5 linked regions of the Callithrix jacchus genome follow. The protein of the gene in region 5 interacts with the protein of the main gene of each other region in a biochemical or structural test. Links are inferred from orthologs where the notes say so. Each region holds a gene or a part of one and is shown on either strand. Other genes may lie near its edges. The genes, in order: COPS5, SKI, CEBPB, TFE3 and SMAD4.

The links.
Region 1: the proteins of SMAD4 (region 5) and COPS5 form a complex in vitro, tested with the Homo sapiens proteins (2 studies listed by BioGRID). The link is inferred for Callithrix jacchus from reciprocal best matches to the Homo sapiens genes SMAD4 and COPS5.
Region 2: the proteins of SMAD4 (region 5) and SKI form a complex in vitro, tested with the Homo sapiens proteins (3 studies listed by BioGRID and IntAct, with this or other methods). The link is inferred for Callithrix jacchus from reciprocal best matches to the Homo sapiens genes SMAD4 and SKI.
Region 3: the proteins of SMAD4 (region 5) and CEBPB form a complex in vitro, tested with the Homo sapiens proteins (2 studies listed by BioGRID and IntAct). The link is inferred for Callithrix jacchus from reciprocal best matches to the Homo sapiens genes SMAD4 and CEBPB.
Region 4: the proteins of SMAD4 (region 5) and TFE3 form a complex in vitro, tested with the Homo sapiens proteins (2 studies listed by BioGRID). The link is inferred for Callithrix jacchus from reciprocal best matches to the Homo sapiens genes SMAD4 and TFE3.

What each region holds. Positions count from the first base shown.
Region 1 is NC_133517.1:22,929,465-22,935,032, forward strand, and holds part of COPS5 (COP9 signalosome complex subunit 5), read right to left. Parts: intron 3,074-5,568; coding exon 2,962-3,073; intron 170-2,961; exon of another isoform or gene 1-169. UniProt on the Homo sapiens protein: Probable protease subunit of the COP9 signalosome complex (CSN), a complex involved in various cellular and developmental processes.
Region 2 is NC_133508.1:40,278,351-40,284,637, reverse strand, and holds the start of SKI (ski oncogene), read right to left. Parts: upstream 4,268-6,287; 5' UTR 3,820-4,267; coding exon 2,851-3,819; intron 1-2,850. UniProt on the Homo sapiens protein: May play a role in terminal differentiation of skeletal muscle cells but not in the determination of cells to the myogenic lineage. Functions as a repressor of TGF-beta signaling.
Region 3 is NC_133506.1:45,725,531-45,731,100, forward strand, and holds CEBPB (CCAAT/enhancer-binding protein beta), read left to right. Parts: upstream 1-2,083; 5' UTR 2,084-2,284; coding exon 2,285-3,319; 3' UTR 3,320-3,934; downstream 3,935-5,570. UniProt on the Homo sapiens protein: Important transcription factor regulating the expression of genes involved in immune and inflammatory responses. Also plays a significant role in adipogenesis, as well as in the gluconeogenic pathway, liver regeneration, and hematopoiesis.
Region 4 is NC_133524.1:49,588,938-49,595,164, forward strand, and holds the start of TFE3 (transcription factor E3), read right to left. Parts: upstream 3,465-6,227; 5' UTR 3,335-3,464; coding exon 3,219-3,334; intron 708-3,218; exon of another isoform or gene 646-707; coding exon 532-645; intron 1-531. Other genes in the region: CCDC120 (coiled-coil domain-containing protein 120), read left to right, coding at 4,196-4,210. UniProt on the Homo sapiens protein: Transcription factor that acts as a master regulator of lysosomal biogenesis and immune response.
Region 5 is NC_133514.1:94,256,415-94,262,666, reverse strand, and holds the start of SMAD4 (mothers against decapentaplegic homolog 4), read right to left. Parts: upstream 4,119-6,252; 5' UTR 3,713-4,118; intron 1-3,712. UniProt on the Homo sapiens protein: In muscle physiology, plays a central role in the balance between atrophy and hypertrophy. When recruited by MSTN, promotes atrophy response via phosphorylated SMAD2/4.

The sequences.
Region 1 (5,568 bases), on a different chromosome or scaffold from region 5:
TCTTGATTATTAATGTCCTCATCTATGCATGCTGGAATACAGGGGCAGACATTGGGCTGAGTAGGTAGATCTGCTTGCCTCATACAAAGGTTCAGACTGCTCTGGTCTTACAGTGTTTTCTCCCCTTGCCATCAGGTGTCACTTCTGGCTGCTATTAATATACTTGCCTCTAAGGAAACAACACATATAAAGCACTTAGCAGTGTCTGGCACATAGGAAGCAGGTAACACATATTTGCTATGATGATCATTCTCCATCCTTCTAATTTGCTACTTCTGACTACTAAAGATAAGAAATAAGATGCTAGGCACTGTGGCTCATGTTTGTAATCCCAGCACTTTGGGAGGCTGAGGTGGACAGATGGCTTGTGCCCAGGAGTTCTAGACTAGCCTGGACAACATGGCAAAGCCCCGTCTCTATAAAAAAATATAAAAAATTACTCAGGCATGGTTGTGTGCATGTCTGTTGTCCCAGTTACTCAGGAGGCTGAGGTAGGAGGATCACCTGAGTCCAGGAAGTCCAGGCTATAGTGAGAGATGATTATACCACTGCACTTCAGCCTGGGCAACAGAGTGAGACCCTGTCTCAAAAAAAGAGAGAGAGAAAAAAAGAAAGAACAGAGAGCTTGTCAGAGTTCTATTTAAAATAATAAAAAATACACTGCTTCACTTGACTAGCCTAAAAAAAGAACAGTTAAATAATAGGCTAAAGTGAGGTATTTTTCCATGCATATAATGCACCAAATAAAAAAAAATTAATGAGGCTTTATCATATGCCAGACACTTTGCTAATTGCTTTATATAAAGTAGCCCATTTAATTTTCTCAGAGTACTTAATGATGTATGTAGTATATCACCATTTTACAACAAAGAAATGCTTAGTTACATTAAATAACTTTCTGAAAGTCGCTCAGAACTAGTAAAGTGGCAGAGTTGTTTTCAAAGTCAATTTTATTTTTTAGGATATCATTTGCTTATTATACAAGAGAGACATGGAAATTATTTATATAATTAAGTATTTCAGAACTTACGTGCAATGAGCGGCTTCATGTTGATGGCATTTCATTAGTGATTTACTTTAGTCTACATACTTTCTAAGAATGTCAGCATCTCTAAATAATCTGGCTGGGCATGGTGGCTCACAGCCTGTAATGCTAGCACTTTGGGAAGCCAATGTGGGCAGACTGCTGAAACCCAGGAGTTCAATGCCAGCTTGGGCAACATGGCAAAGCCCTGTCTCTACAAAAAAAATACAAAAATTAGCCGGGTGTGGTGGCTCACCCCTATAGTCCCAGCTACTTGGGAAGCTGAGGCGAGAGGACTGCTTGAGCCTGGGAGGCTGAGGCTGCAGTGAGCCAAGATTGTACCACCACACTCCAGCCTGTATGACAGGGACCCTGTCTCAAAAAACGAAACGAAAACACAATCCTTGGCTTTCCAGGTCAACTGAATAAACCTAAAGAATGGCAAAGTAGTTCTTTACTTTGGTGCTTTGGTACCTCCATATTCAGGGAGAATAATTCTTTATCTCTTACTTTCACATTAACTGGTTGAATCCACCTTTTCCTTGAAAGCGTGATCCAACAGCTACTACTGTTGCTTGCAATGCTTTACCTTAAGATTTTTCTGGAAGCATAATGCCTTCTTTAGTTCCAGCTTCAGCTGTACTCCTTTCAACCAATACTTGATCAAAGAGCGTAAGAAACTTCTAAGTGATGGTCCTACTATGACTCCTGCTGCTGTAGCTCATATTCTCCAAGCCCAGTTTATTTTATTCTAAATCCTATGGTTCTAACTACTATATATACTGCAGTATATGAAATGGCCTGCTTTTTTAGAAAAGTAAAAAAATTGTTCCTAAGTTCTATATATAGAGAAGCTGATTAAATATCCTTCCAAATATTTTGGGTTTTTATATTATCAGAAAAAATTCAGTGACCTCTTTTTTTTTTTCCCTCCCAGCATCTACTGCTTTAAGGTAATGCTATTCTGATTCCCTTTGGGAACCTCTCCTTCCCCGTTTTTAGTACTTGAGCTACTGAAGGAGTTTTCTACACTGTGGCCCAGCAGTAAAGCACTTGCCATGGCCAAAGCCATTCATCAGGCTTATTCAGTTGGCCTTAAAATGGGCATGTGATTAAGTAAAGCCAGTCAGACACAATGAAATTTTGCATGGGGGTGTGTGTCTGTGTGTATGTGTGTGTGTGTGTCCTAAAAATGGGCATGTGATTAAGTAAAGCCAGTCAGACACAATGAAGTTTTGACTGGGAGAGAGAGAGAGGGTGGGGGGGGGGGGGAGAGAGAGAGAGAGAGAGAGAGAGAGAGAGAGAGAGAGAGAGAGAGTGTGTGTGTGTGTGTGTGTGTGTGTGTGTGTGTGTGTATCTTGACCATCTCTTTCTTTGAACATGAAACTGAGAGGCCTGGAGGTCTAAAGCTAAAGCTGCTGTCTTGCTTTCACATGAAGCCTGAAACTAGCAGTAACTAAGATGAAATCAATGCTAAGAGAGAAAAAACACAAGATCTCATAATATTGTTTGAATGAAAACTTAGCTGTGCCTAAGTTAAGCCTTATTCCTCAACTTTGCAACTTACGCAGTTCTCTTTCTTAAGCTAATTTCATTAGGTGTCGTGTTACTTGCAACCAGACTCCAAGCTGAGACACCTGATACACAAAAATCAATATTTGTATATTTTTTATCCATAAATCTCCTTATGGCAGGAGCAGATCTCACCCTGATCTGGCCACTCTATTTGCTACTTAGACTTTGTCTCTATGGGTCATGACAAAAATCTTGAATTGGCCTAGCATCCTAATCCCACTCTGGTGGTGCAGAATCTCACCTCAGCCTTGGTGTCTTGGCCAAGTTAGGTACTGCCTTTCTGTGAAACAGTGTTTCAGATATTAAATGGCTAAGTAGCTTAGATAAAATTCAAATGCATTCCTTGCAAGTATAATACTTACAGTAAGCAAGCTAGAGGAACTCAATGTATTCACCCAGTATTTATTCCACAACAGCTCGAGCAATTTTCGATCCAAAGAGGATTTGAAATATGAGACCTCTAAGGCATAATATCTATGAAATAAAAGCACAAAATTTAGTAAGTGAAAAAAAATTCAACTACATCACATAAAAGTTATGGCCAAATTTAAGTGAATTATACTTTATTCTCAAATTATCCCTTATTCTCATGTTTTAGTTTTTATTCCAACAAGGTAATAGCTAACCATGGTTTCTTTACACTTCAAGGGTTGTGGATCCAAATCTTCTACTAAACATCCTTGTTTTATTCCTTTTATTTCTGTAGAGCCCAGAAATTCCCAAGATGTTATTAACCAGTCAAAACTTCTGAATGACAAGTTTATTCCTGTTGCTGAAAAATTGAAGCCAACAGCACATAAATTTAATGAGCTGCCTCTCTAGGGTAAATTATAATTTTTGTTAGCCACTTTAAAATAATAAAAATCTCATGTGGATTTGTTTCCCTTTCTAGTTCCCTATTTAGGACCTACTGCATTTTGGAAAATCAAATTTTTTAGGTAGGTCCTTAAGGCATCTAAAAAAATTGCTCCCACTTTCAAAGGTGCCTAATTTATCATCAGGGCATAGTAAGAAAAATCTAGAAGTTAAATGTCTGAAAATGCATTTTTTAAAAATTTAAACTATCTCAGTTGCTTCCGTGTAACAATGGATATAAAAAAGCATAAGAGACATCTTTACCTTGAGGAAGTCACCATTTATATGGGGGATGTGGTCTAAACCCACCAAAACATTAAATGTAATGATGTACATTGAATAACAATAAGTGATGCTATAGTGCTATATAAAATGAACCATCCACCAACTAAGGGTTAGAGATAATAAGTACTCTTCATGTAGAGGAGCTCAAGTGATCATCTGGAGCTAGAATTGCCTGAGAAGTCTCAGGGAAAAGGCAAGGTGTAGGGTAACCATTTATGAATCTATCGTATGGATATGTGAGAGCAAGGGGGACATTAGGCAGAGAGCATCAACACACAAAAAGGAAAGACATGTAAGGGATAATAAGGTAATGGGTTTAGCTGGACAATTTAGCAAGAGAAGAATTATGTGAGGGGAAGCTAGAAAGCTGGGGTCTAGGTGGCGGAGGATGTTACATAAAAGGTTAAGAATTTTTTTTTTTTGAGACAAAGTCTTGTTCTGTCACCCAGGCTACAGTGCAGTGGAATGATCTTGGCTCACTGCAACCTCTGCCTCCTGGGTTCAAGTAATTCTCCTGTCTCAGCCTCCCAAACAGCTAGGACAGGCGCCCACCACCACCATGCCCGGCTAATTTTTTTATTTTTAGTAGAGATGGGGTTTTACCGTATTGGTCAGACTGGTCTCAAACTCCTGACCTAAGGTGATCTGCCTGCCTTGGCCTCCCAAAGTGCTGGGATTACAGGTGTGAGCCACCACAGCCGGCCAAAAGGTAAGAAATTTAGACTTTATCCTTTGGATAACTGGGACTCATGGAAAGTGCTTGAGTAGAATGGAAGGTACTTTAGCAGATTAATAATACAGTCAAAGGGGTGTTTTATAGAAGCCTGGCTGTGGCAGTACCATCAGGACATGTTACAGGAGAGAAACTGGAGGCAGGGATTCCACAAAGAAAGCCACTGCAGCAGAGCAGATGAGAAGAGACAGAGGTTCAGACTCAGAGATTAGTGGTGCAAAAGATAAAGACACATAGGTACCCCTTGTAAAACAGAATGCTTTTCTTCAGCCAGAGTCTTGCTCTGTCACTTAGGCTGGAGTGCAGTGGCGCAATCTGGGTTCACTGCAGCGTCTACCTCCCAGGTTCAAGCGAATGTCCTGTGTAGCTCCTGAGTAGCTGGGATCACAGGCATCTGCCAACATGCCCAGCTAATTTTTTGTACTTTTAGCAGAGATGAGGTTTCACCATGTTATCCAGGCTGGTCTCGAACTCCTGACCTCAAGTGATGCACCCACCTCAGATCCAAAGTGCAAGAATGCTTACTGATTAAATTTTAGCAATGAAGAAATATAATGAATTAAGCAGAATAAATTAAATAAAACATAAAGACATCAGGATGGGCACGGTGGCTCATGCCTGTAATTCCATAATCCCAGCTAGAAAACTAGCTGCCCCCTCTTTGGTAGACTCATAGTTCAGAGTGGCAAGGGAAGGTATTTGCCAAAAGAAAGTTATTTAATGCATGGTATGCAACAAGATCTTTAAAAAAATGTTATTTAAGAAAGAAAGGATAAACCAACAGAATAGACAAATGGGGACAGTAGATCTGCTCGAATACAGAAAACATAAAGCATTTCAATCTTTTTTGTTTCAAAGGATAAATCTTTGATACCACTATAACTCAAATAAAAAATAATTGAGAGTTCCTCTGAAGATTAAAGTATCACAGCAAAGGTGTTTCCAGGCTTAGGAGCAATTCTCTCAAACAGGAATTATTTAAATTCTTTTTAATAGGGCAAATTAAATAATGAACACTAAATCTCTATGTGAATATATATTTGTTTAGTTGGGCATGGTAGTGTGCTTGTAGTCCTTGAGCAACCTAGTGAGACTC
Region 2 (6,287 bases), on a different chromosome or scaffold from region 5:
ACTTGCCAAGCACTCACACAGCCAACAGCAAGAAGCTGGCGAGACCTGACAGCCACTGGATGGGAGCAGAGGCCTTCTCTGCACTCCACGATACGAGGGGACACTGGAGGAAGACTCGGCCCCTCATGCTGTCACTGTGCTGCTGACAGGCCAGGGTCTCAGACACAGCTGCCCTCACACAGGGTTTCCAACGCAAAAGGGCAGCCCCGCCTCCCACTGTTTGGGACCCGAGAACATCACTGCCCTCTCCCACCTTGCATCATGGGTAGCAGAGTGGCGCTACTCACTCGGGCAGGGGACCCAGCCCTGGCCTGGCCAAACACCTGAAAGGCAATTCCGCTCCCTCCCACTCCTCAGAGCCCAAAGGCCTGCTGGGAGGAGCAGCCCCTGCAAAGAGTTCCAGTACATTCCTCGTTCCTTCTGCCCTCATCCTCAGCAGATCAAAAGTATTAAGCTACAAAGGAAGTGAAGAAATCAAAACATATCCTAAGAATAAGCTGTAAAGATGTGAGTGGGAGGAACCAGGGGCAGCCAGCTAGGACAAGGGCGGGGCCTCCCAGGCCACTCCTAGGACAATCAGGGTCTGAGCACCGTGGGTCCACGCCCACCCTGAGACCACACTCCTTTCTCCTGTGTCGTCCCTATGCGCACGGACACGCACACGGCTGTCCTGGGGAGACCTCAGGGGACCAGATCTCCCAATCACACAGCCCAGATCTACAGCCCAGATCTCCCAACCACACAGTCACAGAGCCCACGGAGCAGGTACTGAGCAAGGGCAGAGTCCCAGGCCGCCATCCCTTGTCAGAAACACAAGGCAGGAGGGGACACAGACAGGTTAGGTGCCCCACCCCCAGGGGCATGAGGAAAGCCCGCAGGAGCCGGGGAACATGCAGGGAGCCAGGAGGAGGCCACCACTGTCAGGGCAGAGCTGTGGCCACCACTCAGGCTTGGAGACGCCAGGCGCTCAGACTGAGCACATCTTCATCATGGCTTGGGAATTGCTTTTTAATTGGAAAATGAGATTTCAGAGCAGTGCTGGAGAAGACTTCAAAAGGGAAAGGTGGCTTGGAACCATCCACTGAGATGACCAGAGAGAAGCCTGTCTGGCGTGTCTCTATGGCAGCCTGAGGACCCTGGCGCTTACAACCGCAGCGCCTGCCGCAGGGAGGGAGAAGCTGGGTGACCTGGGCCCTGCTGGCCCCCCAGCAAAGCCCAGGAAGACAGACAGACCACAAGCACACACATGACCCACAGTCGGACAAAAACAGACGCACCCTGCTCAGCTGAGAGTCTCTGCCTTCAGCTCAAGACAGTGACGTGAGTGTGTCCCAGCAGCTCAGGCCTTGGTCACAGGTGACCCACTCCGCAACCTGCCTGAGCCCACCACAATCCCCCCAACACGTAGCTTCCTCCAGCCACAGGCACTAGCAAGGGTGGCCACCCCAAACAGAACGGCCCCCAGCCCACAGGGTACGCCATCATGCCCACCCCAGCCAACTCCCCGTGTGACACGAAAGGCCCCAGCCTGCTGGGTCTGTCAGCAGCCCCGCCGGGAGCATCCTTCCACAGCCCACAGGTCTGCAAGCAGCTGCACCAAGGCTCTGGCCTGGCAGGGCCAGAGCGCCCCTGAACAGGCATACACGCGCGCGCACACTCTCCGCAGCCCCCTCCAAGCAGAGGCGACAGTCCCTCGCTTCCATCCACAGCCCCTCCTCCCCACGATCTGACACTCTGCTGGAGGGCCGCCCAGAGAAAACCGGGCTGGAGCATCTATTCACAGATTTCAAAAAAAAAGTTTGATGCAATAGCTGAATTAATTAGGCCTCCCAAGAATAGCTGAGCCAATGCAGCATTCTGTGTGTGCAATTTAATAAGCCTGCATATTTAAAAAAAAGTTACAAATACTTGGGAAGGTATGCAACGGAAAGTTCCTGAGGACCCCACTGGGTAATGTCGGTGCCTTATGGCCTGGGAGCTGCCCACGCCGGATCCTCCAGATCCTCCAACTGGCAAACAACAAAGCCGGGCTGACAGTCTCCCTCCCTGGCGTGTCCCTCTGCGCTTCAGAGGGAGAGAAGGAAACGGGTGAGTCCAAAACAAATCGCAGGCCGCCAGGAACTCCAGCACTCGGGCCCAGGAGCCTGCTGACCAGGCCCTCAGCTGGGTGCCAAGTGGCCCTCACCCTGCACGGGGGACTCTGGGATTTGCTCCCTGGCAGGCCCAGGGAGACGAACCAGCACAGTGCTGGGGCTGCTGAGTCTCGGCCCTCCGCCACTAACGCCGGACACCTGGCTTCATTTTGGGTCTGTGTCCCAAAACTTCAGGACACCAAACAGGGAGCAGAGCCAGTAACAAAACCAGGCCTCGCCTGGCCCGAGCTCTGTCTCCTGGGGCTCAAAGCTGGGAAGCTTCGGGGTAAGGGCAGCCACCTTCACCCCAACCCCAAGGAAGACCCGGGCCTGAGGCATCCAGCCGCAGTACGGCTGGATGGAACTTCCCTGACCTCGGGACAGGCCGCTTTCTCGGCAGCACAAGAGGCCTGTGCCTTCCTGGCCTATCTGGGCAATGGCTGTGGGCCTTTCCCACACACCAAGCCTGGCCCCGCACCCCACCGCCACCAGCCCCGCCCAGGCTCGTCCTGAGGAACCGGCAGGAGGGCTTCCTTCCAAACCCACTGGCCCTGCCCAAGGGAACGCTCTGAATTTCCCCTAAACGAACCGAAGCCTTGAGACAGGAGTGAGGCAGAACACAGGTCCCGGCCTTCGGAGCCCGGAGCGCAAGGCCCAGGAGGTGCCCCCCCACCCAACGCACCGGCCCCACCCCGCGCCCAGGCCTGGGGCCACTCACCCGGGGCACCCGCCGCTTGTACTTGCTGCCATAGTCGAACTTCTCCTTCACGTCGTCCAGGCAGCGGCCGAGGCGCGCCTGCTCCTCCTTGCCGGTGTAGTCCTGGCTCAGCAGGATGTAGGCCCGCCAGTTGGCCGAGTCGAAGCCCCAGTGGCAGGTCCGGTTCTCCAGGGCCTTGTGCGAGTGCACCACGAACTTGTGCGGCGGGTACATGAGGCGGCAGTCCAGGCACTGAATGCAGGCGGCGCTTGGGCTGCTGTAAAGCTCAGGCACCAGCAGCCCCTTGCACTTGCCGAAGCACTCGTGGTACACGCGGACGCTGCGCTCGCTGAGCTCCAGGCCCAGCGCCAGGCTGGCGGCCAGCTCCTTCTTGCAGGGCGGCGGGTAGGCGCCGCCGTAGAGCAGCGCGTTACACAGGCGCTCGGCGTCCGTCTTGGTGATGAGCCCGCACGAGGGCGCCGAGAAGGGCAGGATGCCCATGACTTTGAGGATCTCCAGCTGGTCGGCCGTGCAGCGCGAGCAGTAGATGTGGAGCTCGTCGCACACCGAGTTGATCTGCTGCAGCGAGAAGTCGCGCAGCACCGAGTTGAGGATTTGTGGCAGGCACAGGCGCTTCTCCCCTCCCACCACGAAGCACGAGATGGTCTCGCCCTCTAGCACCGTCTCGCAGCGCTCCGTGGAGCGGTCGGACGGCATGAAGAAGGGCCCGGGCAGCACGGGCGGCGGCGGCTGGATGGCGGGCAGGTGCAGCACGGGCGGCGGCTCCGCGGCTGCGGGCACCGGCGCGGGCACCGCGGCCGCGCCCGCCTCCTTGGCGCTCTCCTTCTTGTAGGCCTCCTGCGCCCAGCGCGCCGAGAAGGCGGCCGGGCCGCCCAACGAGCTCATGGAGCTCAGGTGGAACTGTTCCAGCGTCTTCTGCAGCCCCGGGTGCGGCTGGAAGCCGCCGCGGCCGCCCGCCGCCGCTTCCATGGTGCGCTCCGGCTCCCCGGGCCGCTCCCGCTCCCGCGCGCCCGGGCCCCCCCGGCCCCCGCCGCCGCCCCGCGCGCCCCGGCGGCGTCCGCGGCCCCGACCCCGGCCGCCCCCTGCCGCCGGCTCACGACCGATCACGGCCGCGGCCTCGCCCGGGGGCGCGAAGGGGAAGGCGGGCGGGGCGAAGGGGTCCCGCCGCTGGAGTCCGCCGCCGCCCGGGCCCGGCGCCACATCCACGCGCCCCGCGCCGCGCCCGCCGCCGCCCGGGCCCCCCGCGCGTCCCCCGCGCGCCCCCCGGGCTCTAGGCGCGGGGCATGCCCCGGCGCGCGCCGCCAACGCCAACGCCAACGCTCGCGGGCCCGGGGCTCGCGGGGGGCGCGCGGGCAGGTGGCGGCGCCGAGAGGCGCGAATCGCCGCGGCGGCCGAGGCCGAGGGGCCCGGGAGGAGCGGGGGCGCGGGCGCGGGGCCCGCCGGGCCGTCCTCGCGCGGCGCGCCGCCGCCGCCCCGCTCCTCCCACCGCGCGGCGCCCGCCCGGCTCGTCCCGGCGGCGCTGGCCGGCCGCGTCGCGCCCGCCGCCGGCCCCCGGCCCGCCCGCCCGCCGGCTCCGCGGCCCGCCCGCCCGGCTTCTGGGGCGGCGGAGGCGCCTCTCGCCCGCGGCCCTCAGAGCGCGGCGGCGGCGGCGCGGGGCTTGGGGCGCTCGGCGAACATCCTCCCGGCGGCTCGCTTCGGCTCGGACTGAGCGCCCGGCGCTGAGCTCACGCCGCCGCCGCGCCGCCCCGCCCCGCGCCGCCCGCTCCGCCCCGCGCCGGCCCCGCCCCCCGCGCTGTTTGTTGCTGTGCGTCCGCCTCAGCCAGAGCGCCGGCCAAGAATGTGACCCGCTCCCCAGCCGGGCTCTTCCAGGAACGCGCGCTCCCCGCCCGGACTCGGCCGCGCTCGGCTCCGCTCGCCCGGGATTCGGCTGCGCTAGGACCCGCCCTGCTACGACTCGGCTCCGCTCGCCCGGGACTCGGCTCTGCTCGGCCGTGCTCGACTCGACTCGGCCCCGCTCGGCCTTGCCCGCCGACGGCCGCTAGCGCGGGCGGAGGCGGAGGCGGTGGTGGCGGCGCCCGGGGCCCCCTTCCGGCCGAGGCCGCTTCCTGCGCTGCTGGGAAGGCGCCCGTCTCGCCGCCGCCGGGGCCCAGAAACCCACAGGCTCCCCGCTCGACCGCAAACCAGCTGGGACGGCTGGCGGGCCACGCCACGCACCCGGGGTTCTCCCAGGGTGGGACACCACACAGCGGGGAGCCCGGGCGCCTCTGGGGTCCCACACACCACAGGGATGGTGGCCACGCGGGGGGACTTCGCGCCACGTGACCCTGGCGGCGCAGCCCCGCGGCCCCCGCTGCACCGTGGCCCGTGGCTCGGTGGCCGGGTGTCAGCGGCTCCCGCCCGTGCCAGCCCCGCCCCACCAGACCGGGGCTTCGGGCCTGGGAGGGGCGGCGCCCGGTGCCCCCGCCGCGGCCGCTCTGCCGGCCCCTGGCCGGGTGGCTTCTCAGGATCTCGGCCCCGCGGGTCCCGACGGGCAGACTGGCGAGACCCCTGCCCTCCGCCCCGGGGCTGCGGGGCGCTTCCGTCCGTCCGGTCGGGCCGGCTCTCCACGCCTGGCCACGCAGTGGGAGAGCCACAAGCCCTGGCAGGCCGAAGTGGGAAAGCCTGGGTCCCAAAGCTGGACGGTCGGCCTGGTGGTCCCCAGAGGTGGCAGCGTCCAGCGAGGCCTGCGGGCTCCGGGACGCAATGGGTGGGAGGGGGTTGGGGGCTGTCCTCGCCCGAGGCCGAGGGACATTCCTGCCGCCCTGGGCCCTGGCACCTTTTCCCACGGGCCACGGGTACCCAGGCTGGCTTTCGTGCTGGGGGAAGGCGAGAGGGCCACACCGCCGCAACCTGGGTGACCAGCTGTGACCTCCTGCCTTGGGGGAGCCGACCGGGCGTCCCTGTACAGGACTCTCCTGTGTGGAGAGGCAGCCAGGACCTGCAGGTGACCCCAGGGCGGCTCCATGCGTCCTCCCTCCACTGCCTCGGAGGTTGACTCTCCTTGTCATCGCCCTCCACACTGTCCCCCCACTCTTACTGTTCACTCCGTTGGCCCCCACAATCGGAGGCCAGGCTTCTGTCTATGTTAACACATCCGAAAGCTGGGTAAGAAAGTTATTTCCTTAAAAGGGATATTTAGGCCGGACTCGGTGGCTCACGCCTGTAATTCCAGCACTTTAGTAGGCCGAGGCGGGCGGATCACAAGGTCAGGAGATTGAGACCATCCTGGCTACCACAGTGAAACCCCGTCTCTACTAAAAATAAAAAAAATTAGCTGGGTTTGCTTCTAGTCCTAGCTACTCGGGAGGCTGAGGCAGGAGAATCCCTTGAACCTGGGAGGTGGAGGTTGCAGTGAGTCGAGATGGCACCGCTGAACTCCAGCTTGGGCCACGGAGCAA
Region 3 (5,570 bases), on a different chromosome or scaffold from region 5:
TTTCCTGGAGGAGGCAGCCTTTGGGCTGAGAACTGAGGAGCTGCCTTGGGCAGAGGTGGGGTGACAGTGTTCTTGGTGCATAGGGAACAGCAAATGCATTCATTCACGGGTCCATGTTGAGTGTGCTGCACCCAGGAATTCCTCGTGGGCCAGCCCTCCCTGAGCGGCAGTCTGCAGGGAGACTGAGATAGACCACTAGGAGAATGGAGGCTGGTGATAGGGAAGGAAATTCGCCAGCAGGGGGGACAGAGAGGGCTGCTCTGAAGCCGTGGCCTCTAGCTCAGCCCCGAGTGTCCCATTTTCCAGTGAGGAAGGCCTGGCCGGGTGGCCCTGGGGAAACTGCTGCACCCCTCTGGGCCTTGATCCCTCCCCAGCTCAGAGGCTGCTGGGAAGGCCCAGAAAGCCAGCAGGCTCGGCCAGTGTTCTATCCCCTCCCTCCCTGCCTCCTACCCACCAAGGGTGCCCAGAAATGTTATTTCTCCAGCTCTTGGGGGCAGAGGTCACCCCAGCTCAGCAGATAACATCGAAGGTTGAGCAATGCCCGCCTGCCTGCTGGGGCCAGGGCTGGGGTCAGTGGGCCGGGGGTCAGCCCCTGGCAGGCTGGGAGCTCCTGCCTGGGCAGCCTGGGCTAGGAGTGGCAGAGAGGTGGGCCCAGGGAGCTGCCCCAGTGGCCTAGGAGTGGGTCCCGGAGGGCAAAGGGCCCTCTGACCTGAGCCTACCCAGCAGAGGCGGGCAGTGGTCAGAGGACCTCTGGCCTGTGCTCAAGTCCAGACTGGTGCTTGTCACTTTCCCGTCTGTGAAAAGGCAGCAGCAGAAGCATCTTCCTGGTGGGGTGAAAAAAGTTGAACCTTGGGGTCCAGGCCCACCCCGAGCACAGGGCAGGGACTTGGTAAAAACAGGGGTGTCTCTTCTCTTTCCTGAATGCCACCCCCTCTCCCGTGAGGCCTGGCTTAAGCCGCTCACGGCAGCTTCAGAAACAGAAGCTTTTTGGTCTCTGGGGCTGGCAATAGGTCTTAGGGCCCAGAGAGGGCAGGCATTTCGTGTGGGATGAATGTGGGCGGGACACTAGGCTGTGACCTTGGTATGCCATGCTATGCCCCCTCTGGGCCTCCAGTGGCACAATCCGTGGGGGTCCCTTTTTCTCCGATGTGCTGCCTATAAGGTAAACCTCAGGTTGGGGAGTCTGTAGGAACAATGCCACCACTGCTGACAGTAGGGACACCCTTCATGGACTGCAGCTGGGAGAAGTGAAGGGACTCACCCAAGGTCACACAGTGTGGCAGGGCCGAGCGCCCCCCAACTCCATCCCCATCGCAGGGCCCAGGTCGGGTGGTGCGGTGCGGGGTGGGAGAAGACCCAGGTGTTGAAGCCGCGAGCAGGCGGCAGGTGAGGTGGGCGGGGCGCCGTCCACCAGGGTCCAGCCCCCAGCGGAGCGCGCTCCTGCCCTGTCCCCTCCCCGACCCCCGGGATCCTCATATTGGTGGCTTAAGAGGGAGTCGTCACAGGCCTGGAGTCTCCTTTCTAGAGCCAGGGACCTGGGGAAGGGGTGGGAGTTTAGGAGAGGAAGGGCCACGGGGATGGGTCGCTTCTCCAGGAGCTAGAGCTGCGGCCTGGGGTCTCCAGGGATCGGCCCGGGGAGCGGCCCCCGGTCGGCAGTCCGGGCTCGGCTCGGCCCTCCTGAAACCTCCGCCTCCTCCAGCAGGGGGCGGGCCGCGGCCGCGTCTCCGGGGGGAAGGCGCTCAGGTCGCCCCCTCCTCGGATTCCCCCGCCTTTCAGGGCAGCCTCCAGCCCAGAGGGGCGGTCCGGGGGCGGGGTCGCACCGCCCCCTCTCGCTCCCAATCCCGGGGCGGCCGAGCGCGGGTGGGCAGGGGGCGCGATGCCGCTCCCCCCGCGGCCCGGGGACCCCCGGAAAACGCGCTCCGGGTGCCCGGTCCCTCCGCTGCGCCCCGCCACCGGCCTCCCGGGGGTCTCGGGCGTCCGCGGCCGTGTCCTCCGCGTCCCGGTGGCGGCGGCGGGAGGGGCCGGCGTGACGCACGGTTGCTACGGGCCGCCCTTATAAATAACCGGGCTCAGGAGAAACTTTAGCGAGTCAGAGCCGCGCACGGGACTGGGAAGGGGACCCACCCGAGGGTCCAGCCACCAGCCCCCGCACTAATAGCGGCCACCCCGGCAGCCGCGGCAGCAGCAGCGACGCAGCGGCGACAGCTCACAGCAGGGAGGCCGCGCCACCTGCGGGCCGGCCGGAGCGGGCAGCCCCAGGCCCCCTCCCCGGGCACCCGCGTTCATGCAACGCCTGGTGGCCTGGGACCCAGCATGTCTCCCCCTGCCGCCGCCGCCTGCCTTTAAATCCATGGAAGTGGCCAACTTCTACTACGAGGCGGACTGCTTGGCTGCTGCGTACGGCGGCAAGGCGGCCCCCGCGGCGCCCCCCGCGGCCAGACCCGGGCCGCGCCCCCCCGCCGGCGAGCTGGGCAGCATCGGCGACCACGAGCGCGCCATCGACTTCAGCCCGTACCTGGAGCCGCTGGGCGCGCCGCAGGCCCCGGCGCCCGCCACGGCCACGGACACCTTCGAGGCGGCTCCGCCTGCGCCCGCCCCCGCGCCCGCCTCCTCCGGGCAGCACCACGACTTCCTTTCCGACCTCTTCTCCGACGACTACGGGGGCAAGAACTGCAAGAAGCCGGCCGAGTACGGCTACGTGAGCCTGGGGCGCCTGGGGGCCGCCAAGGGCGCGCTGCACCCCGGCTGCTTCGCGCCCCTGCACCCGCCGCCCCCGCCGCCGCCGCCGCCCGCCGAGCTCAAGGCGGAGCCGGGCTTCGAGCCCGCGGACTGCAAGCGGAAGGAGGAGGCCGGGGCGCCGGGCGGCGGCGCAGGCATGGCGGCGGGCTTCCCGTACGCGCTGCGCGCTTACCTCGGCTACCAGGCTGTGCCGAGCGGCAGCAGCGGGAGCCTCTCCACGTCCTCGTCGTCCAGCCCGCCCGGCACGCCGAGCCCCGCCGACGCCAAGGCGCCCCCGGCCGCCTGCTACGCTGGGGCCGCGCCGGCGCCCTCGCAGGTCAAGAGCAAGGCCAAGAAGACCGTGGACAAGCACAGCGACGAGTACAAGATCCGGCGCGAGCGCAACAACATCGCCGTGCGCAAGAGCCGCGACAAGGCCAAGATGCGCAACCTGGAGACGCAACACAAGGTCCTGGAGCTCACGGCCGAGAACGAGCGGCTGCAGAAGAAGGTGGAACAACTGTCGCGCGAGCTCAGCACCCTGCGGAACTTGTTCAAGCAGCTTCCCGAGCCCTTGCTCGCCTCCTCCGGCCACTGCTAACGCGGCCCCCGCGCGCGTCCCCCTGCCGGCCGGGGCCGAGACTCCGGGGAGCGCCCGCACCCGCGCCCGCGCCCCCGCCCCCGCCCCCGGCGGCGCCGGCAAAACTTTGGCACTGGGGCACTTGGCAGCGCGGGGAGCCCGTCGGTAATTTTAATATTTTATTATATATATATATATATCTATATTTTTGTCCAAATCAACCGCACATGCAGATGGGGCGCCCGCCCGTGGTGTTATTTAAAGAAGAAACGTCTATGTGTACAGATGAATGACTCTCTGCCTCTCCCTCTGCCCCTCTCCAGGCGCCGGCGGGCGGGCCGGTTTCGAAGTTGATGCAATCGGTTTAAACATGGCCGAACGCGTGTGTACATGGGACTGACGCAACCCACGTGTAACTGTCAGCCGGGCCCTGAGTAATCGCTTAAAGATGTTCCTACGGGCTTGTTGCTGTTGATGTTTTGTTTTGTTTTGTTTTTTGGTCTTTTTTTTTTTTTTTGTATTATAAAAATAATCTATTTCTATGAGAAAGGCGTCTGTATATTTTGGGAATCTTTTCCGTTTCAAGCATTAAGTAAGAACACTTTTAATAAACTTTTTTTTGAGAATGGTTACAAAGCCTTTTGGGGGCAGTAATTGGCTTTTGTTTTTTTTTTTCTTTATTTTGGATTTGTTGGATTTTGTTTTTGCGTTTCTGGTGTGTAGGGGGTTGTGTGTGGGGAAGCTGCTGTTATTTTTGGAGGTTTTGGTGGTTGGGTGGGGGTGTTGCAGCTGGTTTTTCTGCCTCTGCTACTCCTCCCCCCACCCACAGGGTCTGCTTGGAGATGGGGTTCCAGCTCTGGGGAAAAGGGGAGAACAGTGATGGCTCAGGCTTTCAGGCTGACTCAGAGTCCCTGGGCGCTGGGACGGGTGGCTGGGAACCCTGCTTGAGAAGGGAGTCCAGGGCCTCTGGCTGGTCCGGAGTGTCAGGCTTGGGTTTGGAAGGGCTGGGACGTCTGTGACCCCTGTCCTGTGTTTGGGGATCGTAGGCACGCCTGTGACTGTAAGAGGAGAGGGTTCAGGTCTTGGTCCGAGTCAGGGCAGATGCCTGTGGTAAGTGTAGTAGGGTGGGTTGTTTAAAACACAGTTTGTGTATACGTGTGTATTTTAAAGAGGGGAGCCTGGGTATGTGGGCAAGTCTGTGTTTGTGTGTCCCTGGCCAGCAGGAGGGGAGAAGCCAGGCCAGGTGGAGGGAGGTGGGGAAGGGGTTCTCACACTTTGATTCCCTTTCCTTGGGATGGGGGGGCTCATCACTTGCCCTTTTTTGCCCAAACATGGACACTGAGCCCACCATACCTGCTTGCTCAAGGTGGCTGAGTCCAGGCACGAACCTGGGGCTGCTAGCCCTTATTCCCTGGGACAGGTTCCTCTTCCCTGCCCCCTGATCCCTCTGACCCTTCCAGCTTCTCCCTGCACCCCCACCCCCATGCAGCCCCGGATGGCATTCCTGAGAGTTGAGGATGTAGATGGATGTGAGTGGATGCATGTACAGCGTCCCACAGTGCCTGGCATGCAAGAGGTGTTATATAAGCGCTTGCTCTTGTTATTATTTTTCGCTGGGAAGCTGCTGGCATTTGGCACCCCAGTCTCCAGTGCAGCGCCAGTGTGGCCACTACTTGCCAGGGGCCGGCATCTGGTAAACACTGGACCTGCCCCATCCCATTTAGACCTCACAACAACCTTTGGGGAGGTGGGGACTGTTATGATGCCTGTTTCTAGAGGTGGGGAGCAGCTTTGGGCTGTCCGATCCCTATGGGCAAGACAAGGTTGGGGGTTGCCCTGCTCTGAGGAATTCAGGGGCAGCAGGGGTTGTAGACTGGCCTGCCAAAGGCCTGGGGCAGTCTGGGATCTCAGGAGCAGCTGCTGATACGGTGGTTCCTGGTTTGAGAATGGGAAATGTGTTGCCCCTCCTTTTCCCTTTGAGGGGCTGGTTGTGCTTTACTGTGGGAGCCCAGGGCATGGGGAACAGACAGCAACACTCAGCCCCCACCATCGCAGCGCTGAGGATTCTGGCAAGCTCCACCTCCCTAAGGCCAGTGTCTCCTGATGGTGGCTCGAGGGCTATGCAGATTGCTGGACACAGATAACCTCACTTCAACCTGGGGCCTGCAGTGTGGCCCTGACCACGTCTCCTCCCAGCCCTGCGCAACTGGACGCCTGGCCAGGCACGCCTTCAGAGCCTCGAAGTCAGTCCAGTCCCAAGCCCCACTGTCTC
Region 4 (6,227 bases), on a different chromosome or scaffold from region 5:
AAATCTCAGAGATTTCACAATCCTCTCTTCCTGCCCCTCTTCCACATCCCCTCCCCTCTCTCAGAGCCCGGGCCGATGACTCAGCACATTTAGACTTCCAAGCTTGGGGAAAGAGACCAGCAGGGGCTCCTCAAAGGCTGAGGGTGGGTAAGTGGGTAGTGTGGGAAGGGGCTGAGTTGGGGCTAGAGGTATGGCCCCGCCCACCCAGGGGTGTGAGTTTAAGCAGGCCACGCCCTATCTCTGGGCACTCCAGGCCAGCTGGAACACCTGAGGCTGAAACCCTTACGTATGAATGGGTGTGCAGGTGGGTTGCGGGGAGGCAGGGGAGGTCTTGACAGAGATACTGGAATCCTAGCTTGGCAACCTACTTCCCTGTGTGATCATGCTCTTTCTGGCCCCTAATATTACCATCTGGAAAATGCAGGCTAGTGAAAGACTGGATTGGGCTGGTACTGAGGGCCTCTGCCCATCAAGAGGGGAGAGGAGTGCTGAGGAATTGGGAGGGGACTCAGATAGACAATTCATACATACCTTGAGCGAAGGGGTAAGGGTTGGCTTTTGAGCTCGTAGAAGCTGTCAGGATCAAGGATGTTTTCTAATTCTATGTCAGCAACAATCCCAGATTCCGGAAGCAAAGAGTTCAGGCTGAGGGGGAGGTGGGGTGGTGGTCAGTGATTGAATGAAGGATCTTATTCCCCTGCCCTCCCCTGAGACAGAGAAAGAGAGACAGACAGACAGACAGAGATGGGGAGAAAGAACAGAAGAACACAAGCCCCTCATATTTGGCCACGTTGCTGGGTACCACACCACCATGAATTCCCACCTCCTTCCCCCTCATACCCTTTTCCCTTCCCCACCGTGTTACTCATAGTCCCTTAAGAGTCAGAATAATAAGAATGCCTGTATCCCAACCCCAACAGTGTAAGAACCTGGGTTTGAGTTAAACAGAATTTAGGAGTAACAATTCACTTTATGGAAGAATTCCTGACTTCCTATTCAGAGTTCTCTCAGCCCCTATACTCCCTACTATTTTTTTTTCTCTGTCACCAGGCTGGAGTGCAGTGGTGCGATCTCGGCTCACTGCAACCACCACCTCCTGGGTTCAAGCCATTCTTGTGCCTTAGCCTCCCGAGTAGCTGGGATTACAGGTACACATCATCACACCCAGCTAATTTTTGTATTTTTAGTAGAGACGGGGTTTCACCTTGTTGGCCAGGATGGTCTTGATCTTGTGACCTCATGATCTGCCTGCCTTGGCCTCTCTGGGATTACAGGCGTGAACCACTGCACCTGGCCAACCTCCTACTATTTTCTTTACAGCTGAATGTGAGCCCAGGTATATGTGTAAACGTAAACACATACACACACACACACACACACACACACACACACAGCAAGTGGGGGTATCCCTCAGCATAAGAGCCCCTTGTAACACAAAATGAATGCATCACAAAGAGAACTGGGAATAATTCACCTGATGTAAAGATCTACCATTTCACAAATGAGTTTCTCCCAGCCCTAGCCAGAGTTCACGGGATGCCAACACATGCCCAAATATAAAATAGAAATATCAAAGGCTCCCCTCGCTCCAACAGACTGGATTTACAGGAGGGAGAATATAGGTGGTTGATCCACTTTATACAAGCATTCTTTTCTTAGCCAGAGGAGCCTGTCCAGCCTTCTCCTGTTTTTTTGGATAGATCAAAACACACACACCTCCAACACCAACACCCACTGTCACACAAAATAAGCCAAATACACCCCTCCCTTTTAACTATGTCCACTACTGCGATGATCTAGGTTGTTACAGAGGAATTAGAAGATGGTGAATCGATATACAGAAAGGCTATGCTTAGCCCTAGAGAGCAAGGGACACTTAACACACATGTGGTAGATGAATATGCATCCTTTAATTTAGCCAAAGATTTAGAATCCTGAGAGATTGCTGGTGACTTCACTTGACAAGAATCCTCTCCCCTCCCCAAGGATCTCTCTTCCTTCCTCTCCTCACCCTCAGATGGAGTCCTAAAACCACCCAGGAAGTTGGGAAGAGGAAGCTCGGGGAAGGCACTGAGCTCAGCACAATCCCAGGCACAAAGGAGGCAAAGACCCCTCCCCCCTCACGCAGCCCCCGCCAAGCTCACACACCCATTGCATAGAAGTTGGAAGAGATGGGCGTGCTGGGATGAGCAGGGAGGGCTGGGGCTCCAAAGCCCGTTGATGGAAGTGAGGATGAGAAGAGGCCGGAGGGGACCCACCCAGGCAGGGATGGTGCAATCTGTACTCATTCCAGCTCTATGGACAGATTCAAGATTACCCCCAGGAGGTCGGAGATAGAAAAAAACATAAAATAAAAATAAGAGGGGTGTGGGACTAGGAACTGGGAAGGGCTGAGAGGGTAGAGCAAGTAGCAGCATGAACAAGAGCCTCCTCTGGGTTCCCAAACAAGGTCTGAGGCCTTGTCTGAGCTAAGAGGTAACATCATCACCCTCTGTCTGCCCTCTGTCATTCAGGCCCTTATCAGGTGTGGGAAGAGGGCTTTTCCACTATCCCTGGGTCTGCCCCAGCTGGGTGGGCGGGCAGGGGAGAAAAGATTATTCTGATCAAGTCTTGCTTAATGTTGCTTCTCTTGTTCATTCACACGCACTCACAAGGCTGGTCCCAGACAGCATATCTGAGATACCTGCAAATCCCTCCAGATTCATGTTATCATCAAACACAGCAACCAGCCACTGAGAGGCACCAAGCTCCCAAGACAGCACTTCTGTCCCTCAGGACCCCTTCTCCCACGCTGAGGGAAAAAGATTCCAGGATCCCCTTAAAATCAGTGCCTCACCTGACAGTGTCCCCTCAAATTCATTCCCTTCATGTCTGACTGAAAACCCCCGAATTCAGCCTCTAATCAGAGTCCCAGTCCGCCAAGTTCAGTTTCTGGATACTCCAGAATCAGCCCCTCTAGACGCAGTCAAGGGTTCCCCAAACCTGACACAGGCCCGCTTAATGCACTCTCCCACGACTCCTTTAAGCCACAGTCCAAGCAGGCCACTGCCGGATTCCTTAGGTGCCCCCACAAGACTGGTGCCCCCACAAGACTGGCGCCCCGACGTCCTCCAAGCCTAGGCCGAGGGCCTCCAATCCCAATCCAGGGCCCCCGCTGCCCCCCAGATCAGGCCCCCGGGAGCCCCAGTCGGCACTCCCGGCCCCTGCCGGCCCCGCACCTGAGCAGCTGAGCCGAGTCGGCCGGCCTGCGCTCCTCCAACAGCACGAACACGGCTCGAGGGCCCTCCGCGCTGGCCTCTACGCCATCCCGAGCTGGCTCGGCCGCATGAGACATGACGCCCGGCCGCGGGCGAGCCCTGCCAGGCCGGTCGGGCCTTGGCCCGGTCCCCCTAACAAAATAAGAGTCCCCCTCCCCCCAGTTCTTCACCGCCTCCTCCTCCGCTAAGCCAAGGAGCTAGCACTGCGCGGGCGGGCGGCGTCGGGGAGATGGGATGGGCTGTGAGTCATCCCCCGCCCAGAAAGGACCAACGCCCCCCCCAACCTAACCCCGGACGACCGCCCTCCTCCCCCTCGTCCTCTTCCCCCGCCTCCCTCCTGCCAGGGATGGGGAAACTCCACAGGAAGTGACCGCACTGGGGATGGACGGCCCGTCTGGCCACGACCCATTAGTGAGGCAGCCAATCGCTGAACGGCGATTCGACGGTCCGCCCTAAGCGACGCCTCCAACGCGGAGGAAAAACGCGATTCGGCCCGCCCTCATTCTGAAAAGAAGCGCCCAGTCCACGCCCTCAAGGACAGCGACAAATAGGCGAGGGGCAATTTGGTTGAGCCACGCCTCCATGTTTGCGTCGCTTTTGGAGCCACGCCCTCTCTTCTCAAATTATTCCCCTGCAAGATAATATATTAAGCCGCTCCTTGGGTCCTCTGCGCCTGCGCCTCGACAGCCAGTCGGCGCGCTGAGGGTCTCCTGGCCTAGCTTTTAGCTGCGGAACCGCGCCCTCTCTCGGCCAATATTCGTAATATCTGCGCCCTAGACCGCGCTGCAACCTCGATCTAACTGTGCTCTCTCAGCCAAAGCCATAATTATGAGGCAGAGGCAGCTACATTCCCTGAAAGTCCGGGCCAGAAACCCTATCCTTTTGGTATCCGCAGTCCAGCCGCCCAGCTGGTCTTCTGGGAGTACTCCACTTGTTCCATGCCATCGAGAGAGGTTGGTGTACTATGTTCGTTGCGCTGCGCAATATGTGCTTAATAAATTCTTGACGGGTGATGAATCTGGTCCCTTCGGTGAATGACGACTTCTGGAATCACAAAGATCCAGGTTTGAATATGGAAGGGGACCTCCCCTCTCCCAGCCTCAACTTTCCTGGCCTGTTAAATGGAGATCAAAATACCTGTCTGGCAGGGTTGTTCTGAGGATTAAAGATAGTATATGAAAAGTGCTAGCAGGTTGTTTGTCATACAAGAAGCTTTCCAAAATTAGTTTATTAGCTCATTGGTTCATTTATTCAACATTTACTGAGCGCTCCTGTATGCCAGACGCATGCAAGCCGGCTTGCACAAGGCGGAGGGTCTCATCCGTACCTTCAGGTGCACGTAGCTCACTCAGACCCGCAGCCTTCCCTTCCTCTTTCCCGACATGCCAAGACCCCGCCCTTTGTTGCGCCTATAGGAGTTTCACTGAGTTCCCATTTACCTCGGACCTTCTGTATTGGCATCCTTATTTCACAGGACTGTCAGCTGCTTTCGTAAACTTGCACATTCATACTCACACAAACCATCTCATACCAGGGGTGGGAGGGGACCTCCACATAATAAAGATGACTTCTGGCCGGACACGGTGGCTCATGCCTGTAATCCCAGCACTTTGGGAGGCCGAGGCGAGTGGATCGCAAGGTCAAGAGATCGAGACCATCCTGGCCAACATGGTTAACGTCTCTACTACCAAAAAAAAAAAAATAGCTGGGTGTGGTGGCGTGCGCCTGTAGTCCCAGCTACTTGGGAGGCTGAGGCAGGAGAATTGCTTGAACCCAGGAGGCGGAGATTGCAGTGAGCCGAGATTGTGCCACTGTACTCCAGCCTGGCACCTGGTGACAGAGCAATACTCTGTCTCAAAAAAAAAAAAAAAAAAAAATTAGCCGGGCGTGGTGGTGGATGCCTGTAATCCCTACTACTTGGGAGGCTGAGGCATGAGAATCCCTTGAACTTGGAGGTGGAGTTGCAGTGAGCCTAGATGACATCACTGCACTCCAGCCTGGGTGACAGTGAGAGTCTGTCTCAAAAACAAAAGAAACTAATACATTACCAATTACACCAATCAAAATTCTAAAATGGAACGTGTAGATCCAATGTTAAAATTCCTATGATGCCTTAAACATATAAAAATGGGCCAGGCACAGTGGCTCACACTTCTAATCCCAGCACTTTGGGAGGTCAAAGTAGGTGAATCGCTTGAGTCCAGGAGTTTGATACCAGCCTGGCCAACATAGCAAAAACCTGTCTCTACAAAAATACAAAAAGTAGCTGGGCGTAGTGGCATGCAACTGTAGTCCCAGCTATTTGGGAGGCTGAGGCAGGAGAATGGCTTGAACCCAGGAGGCGGAGGTTGCAGTGAGCCAAGATGGCGCTGCTGCATTCCAGCCCGGGTGACAGAGCAAGACTGTCTCCAAAACAAAAACAATGGTCAGGCATAGTGGCTTGTGCCTGTAATGCCAGCACTTTGAGAGGCCAAGAAGGGTGAATCACTTGAGGTCAGGAGTTCAAGACCACCCTTGCCAACATGACAAAACTCTGTCTCTACTAAAAATACAAAAAAATTAGCCGAGGGTGGTAGCATATGCCTGTAATCCCAGCTACTAGGGAGGCTGAGGCCCAAGAAACATTTGAACCCAGAGGCGGAGGTTGCACTGAGCCAATATCCTGCCACTGCACTCTAGCCTTGGAAGACAGAGTGAGACTGTGTCTAAAAAAAAAAAGAAAGGGCCAGGCACGGTGGCTCACGCCTGTAATCCCAGCACTTTGGGAGGCCGAGGTGGGCGGATCAGGAAGTCAGGATATCGAGACCATCACGGCCAACATGGTGAAACCCCATCTCTAATGAAAATACAAAAAAAAGTTAGCTGGGCATGGTGTCATACACCTGTAGTCCCAGCTACTGGGGAGACTGAGGTAGGAGAATCGCTTGAACCTGAGAGGCGGAGGTTGCAGTGAACTGAGATCACACCACT
Region 5 (6,252 bases):
AATTCTAAATCTGACTTATGATCAAGTGTATGCTTGGCATATGCAAACAGCATCACTCTACAAGTAGCTCAAATGAATACATCTAGATATATTTGTCAACTGTTTCAATTTCTCATTTTGCAACAATTGAGACTTCATCAACTGTTGAACAAAAAGTCCAAAATTTGATATACAGAACTGTATTAAATGCTGTGTTATGGCCACGCACAGAGGTTTACACCTGTAATCCCAGCACTTTGGGAGGCCAAAGTGGGTGGATCACCTGAGGTCAAGAGTTCAAGACCAGCCTGACCAACGTGGTGAAACCCTGTCTCTACTAAAAATACAAAAATTTGCCAGGTGCTGTGGTGGCACATGCCCGTAATCCCAGCTACTCGGGAGGCTGAGGCAGAAGAACTGCTTGAACCTGGGAGGCGGAGGTTGCAGTGAGCTGAGATTGTACCACTGGACTCCAGCCTGGAATCTCCATCTCAGATGGAGCAAGCCTCCATCTCAAAAACAAACAAATAGAGCAAGCCTCCATTTCAAAAAAAAAAGAAGAAGAAATGCTGTGTTATTCTGGTCTGTCCTTTAACTGTAGATAACAAAACATTTTTTGTCAGGTTACTTTTATACACAATTAACAGTCATCTCAGAGCCACCATCCATCATCGATCTAAGCAAAAAAAAAAAAAAAAATTATTCGTAACTACACAGTCTTCCAGGTCAACAACACCAACAAAAAGAAATCCAAACATATATAATGAGTGCTGAAATGCCGATTAAAAGATGCTTAAAGAACCAGTCACTCTAAAAAAAAAAAAAATCACTGAATTAAAAATGGAAAAAAGGTTAGGTATGAACTAGAGAGGGACAAAATGAACTAAATTTAAACATCAGCAAAACCTGTTTTCACCAAAATAGACAAAAATTTAGACAAGCCTAAATATGCATTTTACATATAATGAACCCTGCAGATTCTATAGGGTTAACCGCCCTAGTAGAGGCCTCAGTAATTCACACCTCAATTAGAATGGTGTCTAATGATGTTACTATAACACTGGCTCAATCAGAAAGAAACTGCTTCCAAGTGGGAGAGCTGCAGTGTGACTGGGCAGCACAAATTAGGTTAATGCTTGCTCCTTAATTTGGGGGGAAAAGAAAAACTGAAGAGGAACACAGAAAAGGAATTCACACACAATCAATCGCTCGACTAAAATGTAGCTTAAGAGGCCTTAAAATAGAAATTCCATTTGACCCAGCAATCCCATTACTGGGTATATATCCAAAGGACTATAAATCGTTCTACTATAAGGACACATGCACATGCATGTTCATTGCAGCACTGTTTACAATAGCAAAGACCTGGAACCAACCCAAATGCCCATCGATGATAGACTGGATTGGGAAAATCTGGCACATATACACCATGGAATATTATGCAGCAATCAAAAATGATGAGTTCGTGTCATTTGTAGGGACATGGATGAATCTGGAGAACATCATTCTCAGCAAACTGACACAAGAACAGAAAATGAAATAACGCATGTTCTCACTCATAGGTGGGTGACGAAAAATGAGAACACATGGACACAGGGAAGGGAGTACTAAACACTGGGGTCTATTGGGGCAATAGGGAAGGGACGGGGGCGGGGCAGCTGGGGAGGGATAGCCTGGGGAGAAATGCCAAATGTGGGTGAAGGGGAGGAAGGCAGCAAAACACACTGCCATGTGTGTACCTATGCAATTGTCTTGCATGTTCTGCACATGTACCCCAAAACCTAAAATGCAATAAAAAAAAAAAAGAAAATGAAGCACAAGTTTTCTAAAATAAGATTTGCTGCCTCCTAGTATAGGCAGAATTGCTTCAAGCAGCAAAACTATCATAAAAAGTCAATCATCCACATAAAACTTATTCCAAAATATTTCAAAGTGAAATATTTCTCAGCACAAATTTTCATTAAGTCTGAAAAACAGATTTGCAATTTGTTTTTTTCTAAACTCAAGATTTACACTGAAGGCACTGACCTAAACAGAGCCATACACCCCCACTTCAAAAATAAAAAACCCAAGATGCCATACTTTTTAAAAACTCACCCGAAAACCTGGAAAGCAAGGAAAAAGCCACTTCTATTAATAAAGTTAAATATTGTAACAATTTTATCTAAAGAAGCTTTTGGTTTTAATTCCAACAACTTAAGCCTACATAATTCATCACCATCTTTAGATCTAAAGCTACTCCAAATTATAAATGCTTGGCCTATCTCTATTACATTTGTTCTTTAAGGAACCCATTTAAGTATACAAAATCATGACAGCATTATGGAAGAAACATTAATTTTAAAAATCCGTGTTTTTAAATGTTAATCATTTACAGTTTAGAATGTTATCTACTAATCACATCAGAACTTTCCAATATAGACAGAATAAGTCCTCAGCATAAAAAAAAAGTTGCACTTTAGAATTTCCTATATTTCAACTAAAAAATATATATCTAGTCTCGGCAGAGTATGGCAAAGTAATTTATGAAATCCACCATAAAAATTATTCAAATGCCATGTTCTAAACCTAATTACAACATTATGCATTTCATTTTTTTGAGACTCTAATAAATGTTTTTTGCCAGCAAAAAGTAGTGAATCTAATTCTTAAATACCCGAGTAACCAAGCTGCTACTAAGACTAAAAGGATTCTAATTCCGACAAAAGTCAAAAGGTTATTAACAAAAATTAGCTAAGATTGTATGTCTGCAGAAAGTCAACTCAGTCTAATTCCCTTATTATCTTGTTATATTTATTATTCCTAAGTAACTGGCAATTTCACCTTAAACTACGGTGCAAAAACTAAATGCATTAAGAAAGTAATTTGGAAATAAATGTGTGTGTGAGTGTGTGTGTGTGTGTGTGTGCGCGCGCGCGCTTTATTAAAAACAAATGTACTTAGGTTTTTGAGGGAAACAGCTATTAATATTCAGCAGGGCTTTGTAAAACCTCTGCACCAGCCAATAAACCTTTCAGGTTAACTAAACATACTCGTGTCTTTGAAAATCTAGTTTGAGAGATCCTAACAACAGTTTGGGGCAAGTGATGGAGCCACCGCCCTCCACCCTACACCCATTTCACTCTCAGTACACGTAGTGCTAACAGTAAGATCAACTGTGCCTTTTATTAGGGAGCATGTTATATAGGGGGAAGAAGGGGTTCAGTTAGGTGCTAAGAATGTGTCCGGCATACCACCGTCACTCTCAGTACTCAAAAACTAAACATATCAAAGACAGAAGCGTAAACTGGCATTGACACGACTAGGAAGAGAAAGTAAAGGACAAAGAGAAAACAGAAATTGGCTGGAGAAAATAAATTAAGACAAACAATTTACAACTTTCATTTAGACCGTAAGGCAACACACTCCAGCCGACCCAACGCGCTCAGCCCGGGCGACCAAGAAACTACTCCAGAACAACAAAGAGGAGCGGCGGCCGCGGCAGGAGTCCCGTCCGAGTTTAACTTGATTCTCGCACGAGCTGCTAGCGGAGCTGGGAGCTGGAGGGACGCGAGGCACCGCTACCCTGCATTCACCCAGCCCGCCCGGGCCGGCTCGTCAGGTAGCCACGGTCGCCCTCCCAGCGGATCCGCGCGCTCCCCGCCGCCGCCGGGAGCCCGCCCCGGGGCGGAGAAGCCGCGGGCGGGGTGCGCGGGCCAGGCCGGGGGAAGGGGAGGGGACATGGCGCGGTTACCTGGGCTCGGGCGGTGGCGAGGGGAGTCCGCTCTCCCGCCGCTGCTGGTCCGCGGACGCTCCGGGCCCGTCGCTTTCGCCCGCGGCCCGGAGAGCTCCTCGGCCCCCGCCCCGAGGCTTCCCGGCCAGGCCGCCTCTCCTCAGCGCTGCGCCGCTGCCCGCGCCGACCGGACCGCCTCGAGCTCCCGGGCAGCCCCGCGGCGGGGGGCCTCTCTCGCGAGGCACCCGGCTTCCCTCACCCGCTCCCACCCGCTGGGCGACTGCGGAGCCGAGGGGAGGGCGAGAAAGGCCTCCCGTTGAGAGCAGGAGGGCGCGAACGCAGGCTCCGCCACCCGAGCCGCTCCGTTACCGCAGCGGCGACGACGAGCAGGGCCGTGTTGTTGCTGCCAACTTGTCGAGAGAACACTGAGCATGCGCGCGCGGGGACCACATCCGGGTAATTTCAGGGTTTGGCCCTTTTCCCCCGCAGCTTTCCTTTCTCCCGGCTGCCCCCGCCTTCCGTCCCCCGCCCCCTGTGAAGGGGAGGGTCGCTCTGCGCAGGCGCCTGCCGGGCAGCGCCAGCCGGCGGGAGGCTCAGAGTCCCGGCCTCGGCCTGGGCCTGGGCCTGGGCCGCGATGCGGGCGGAGGGCGAAGGCCTGCTTGAGGGAGTGGTCGCCAGGGACACTGGCATCTCTTTGCAAAAAAGTACCCAAGCTGCGCAGGAGAGCTCGGCGTTGAGTGGGCGTCCAGTAAGTGTTTATAAACAGTGATTAGCCCGGCCTTTGTTGGTTTTTTGTTTTGTTTGGTGTTGAGGACCTGCGTAGGCACAAAAATTGGCCTTCAAGAGCCAGTCTACAGCTCGGAGGAGAACGTGGCTAGGTTGTAGCAGTTCACTTCGGTAAGAAACAGACGCTGGCCGCACCTTCCCTCTCCGGCAGCCCCGAATCACGAGCCCCAGAGGTGTTTAAACTCGAGAGACGCACAGGACAGTCAAGGAATCCCTTACTGAAGAGCCTTGCCAGGCGTTCCAAGTGTGGGTGGTTTTGTTGGAGGAGATACAGAGCACTCTCGGAGCTGGAGGGGAACTTCGACTCCTACTACACACCTATTAACTAGGTTATCTGTTTGTTCGGTGGGGAAAGGCATAGGCTCTGCTTTTGGCTTTATATTTCTTTTATTTCATTTTTTACAAGACGCATGCATTTCTTTTTTTAATTTAAAACGCATTAATGATATATTTTCACCAAGCAGGAACTACTTTGGGACTAGTTTTAGTCCCTCCAAAACTAATGATGAGCCAGTTCTAAAGTCATTTCTTAGGTCACGTAGCCCAGAACTCTCTACACCCACCGCATGCCTTCGCCACATAGATCCTCTGTGCCTCATTCTGTCCTCCACATCCTGGGCCATTTCCCCCCCACTTTTTTTTTTCTTTTAATGCCAGAAAGCCCCTAAAGCTTCAAACTGGTGTTCTCTTACCACTGGGGTTTATGAAGACCAGTTTTAAGGGATTTCATTTCCATATCTTCCGTTGCTATATGTTCTGTTTTCTAAAATTGCCCAGCTTGAGAAGGGAGCTAAGGACACAGCACCTGTTTTCAAAACTACCCTTCTCCCTCCCACCTTACAAAAGAAAGTCAGAATTCTTACTCATTATTAAGGTACACTGGGTCAATGCAGAACCTCCCCAGCAATCCAAAAGGGGCAATTCAAATATCGGTATCTATGCTGAGAAAGTAAATGACCTTAGGTGAAGGGTATTAAATTATTTTGCAAGTCGGATAGTTTTCCAATCTTTTCTGTCAACAAAACTGAAAGTAGATCTGTCAGCTAATAGATTACTAAACATGATTTAATAATAGTTCAATATGTGATTCTTAGGTAATACACTTCAGAAGAAGTTTTTTAAAAGTTGAGACATTGTTATAACTAAACTTCTTCCATTCCGTCTGTATTAGTTATCTATTGCTGTATAACAATGTCAGCACAAATATAGAAGCTTAAAACAACACATATTTATGATCTTACAGTTTCTGTGGGTCAGGAGACAAGGCATGGCTTAGCTGGGTCCTCTACAAAGTGAGGCTGGAACAAAGGATCCGTTTCCAAGCTCATGTGGTTGTTGGCATCATTCAGTTCCTTGCAGGCTGCAGGACTGAGGGCCTCAGTACCTTACAGGCTGTTGGCTGGAGACCCCCTCTGTTCCTTGCCATGTGGTCCTCTCCATAGGGAAGCTAACAATATGGCAGCTTGCTTCTTCAAAGCCAGCAATGGGGAGAGTCTCAGCAAGACACTGGTTTCAATCTTATGTAACATCATCACATACACTGTGTCACTCATACCCTGTCACTTTTGCCATACGTTGCTGGCCAGAAGCAAATCACAGGCACCACCTACACTGCCAAGGGGAAGGAGACACACAAAGGCATGAACACCAGGAGGTGGGGATCATATGGGGCTTCTTTAGATTCAGTCTACAATGCTATCTATTTATTTAGGCAAATGGCATTCTCTATAAGCTCAGCCTCTTCTCAGAATTTCTCTTCAGGTTCCCTTCACCTT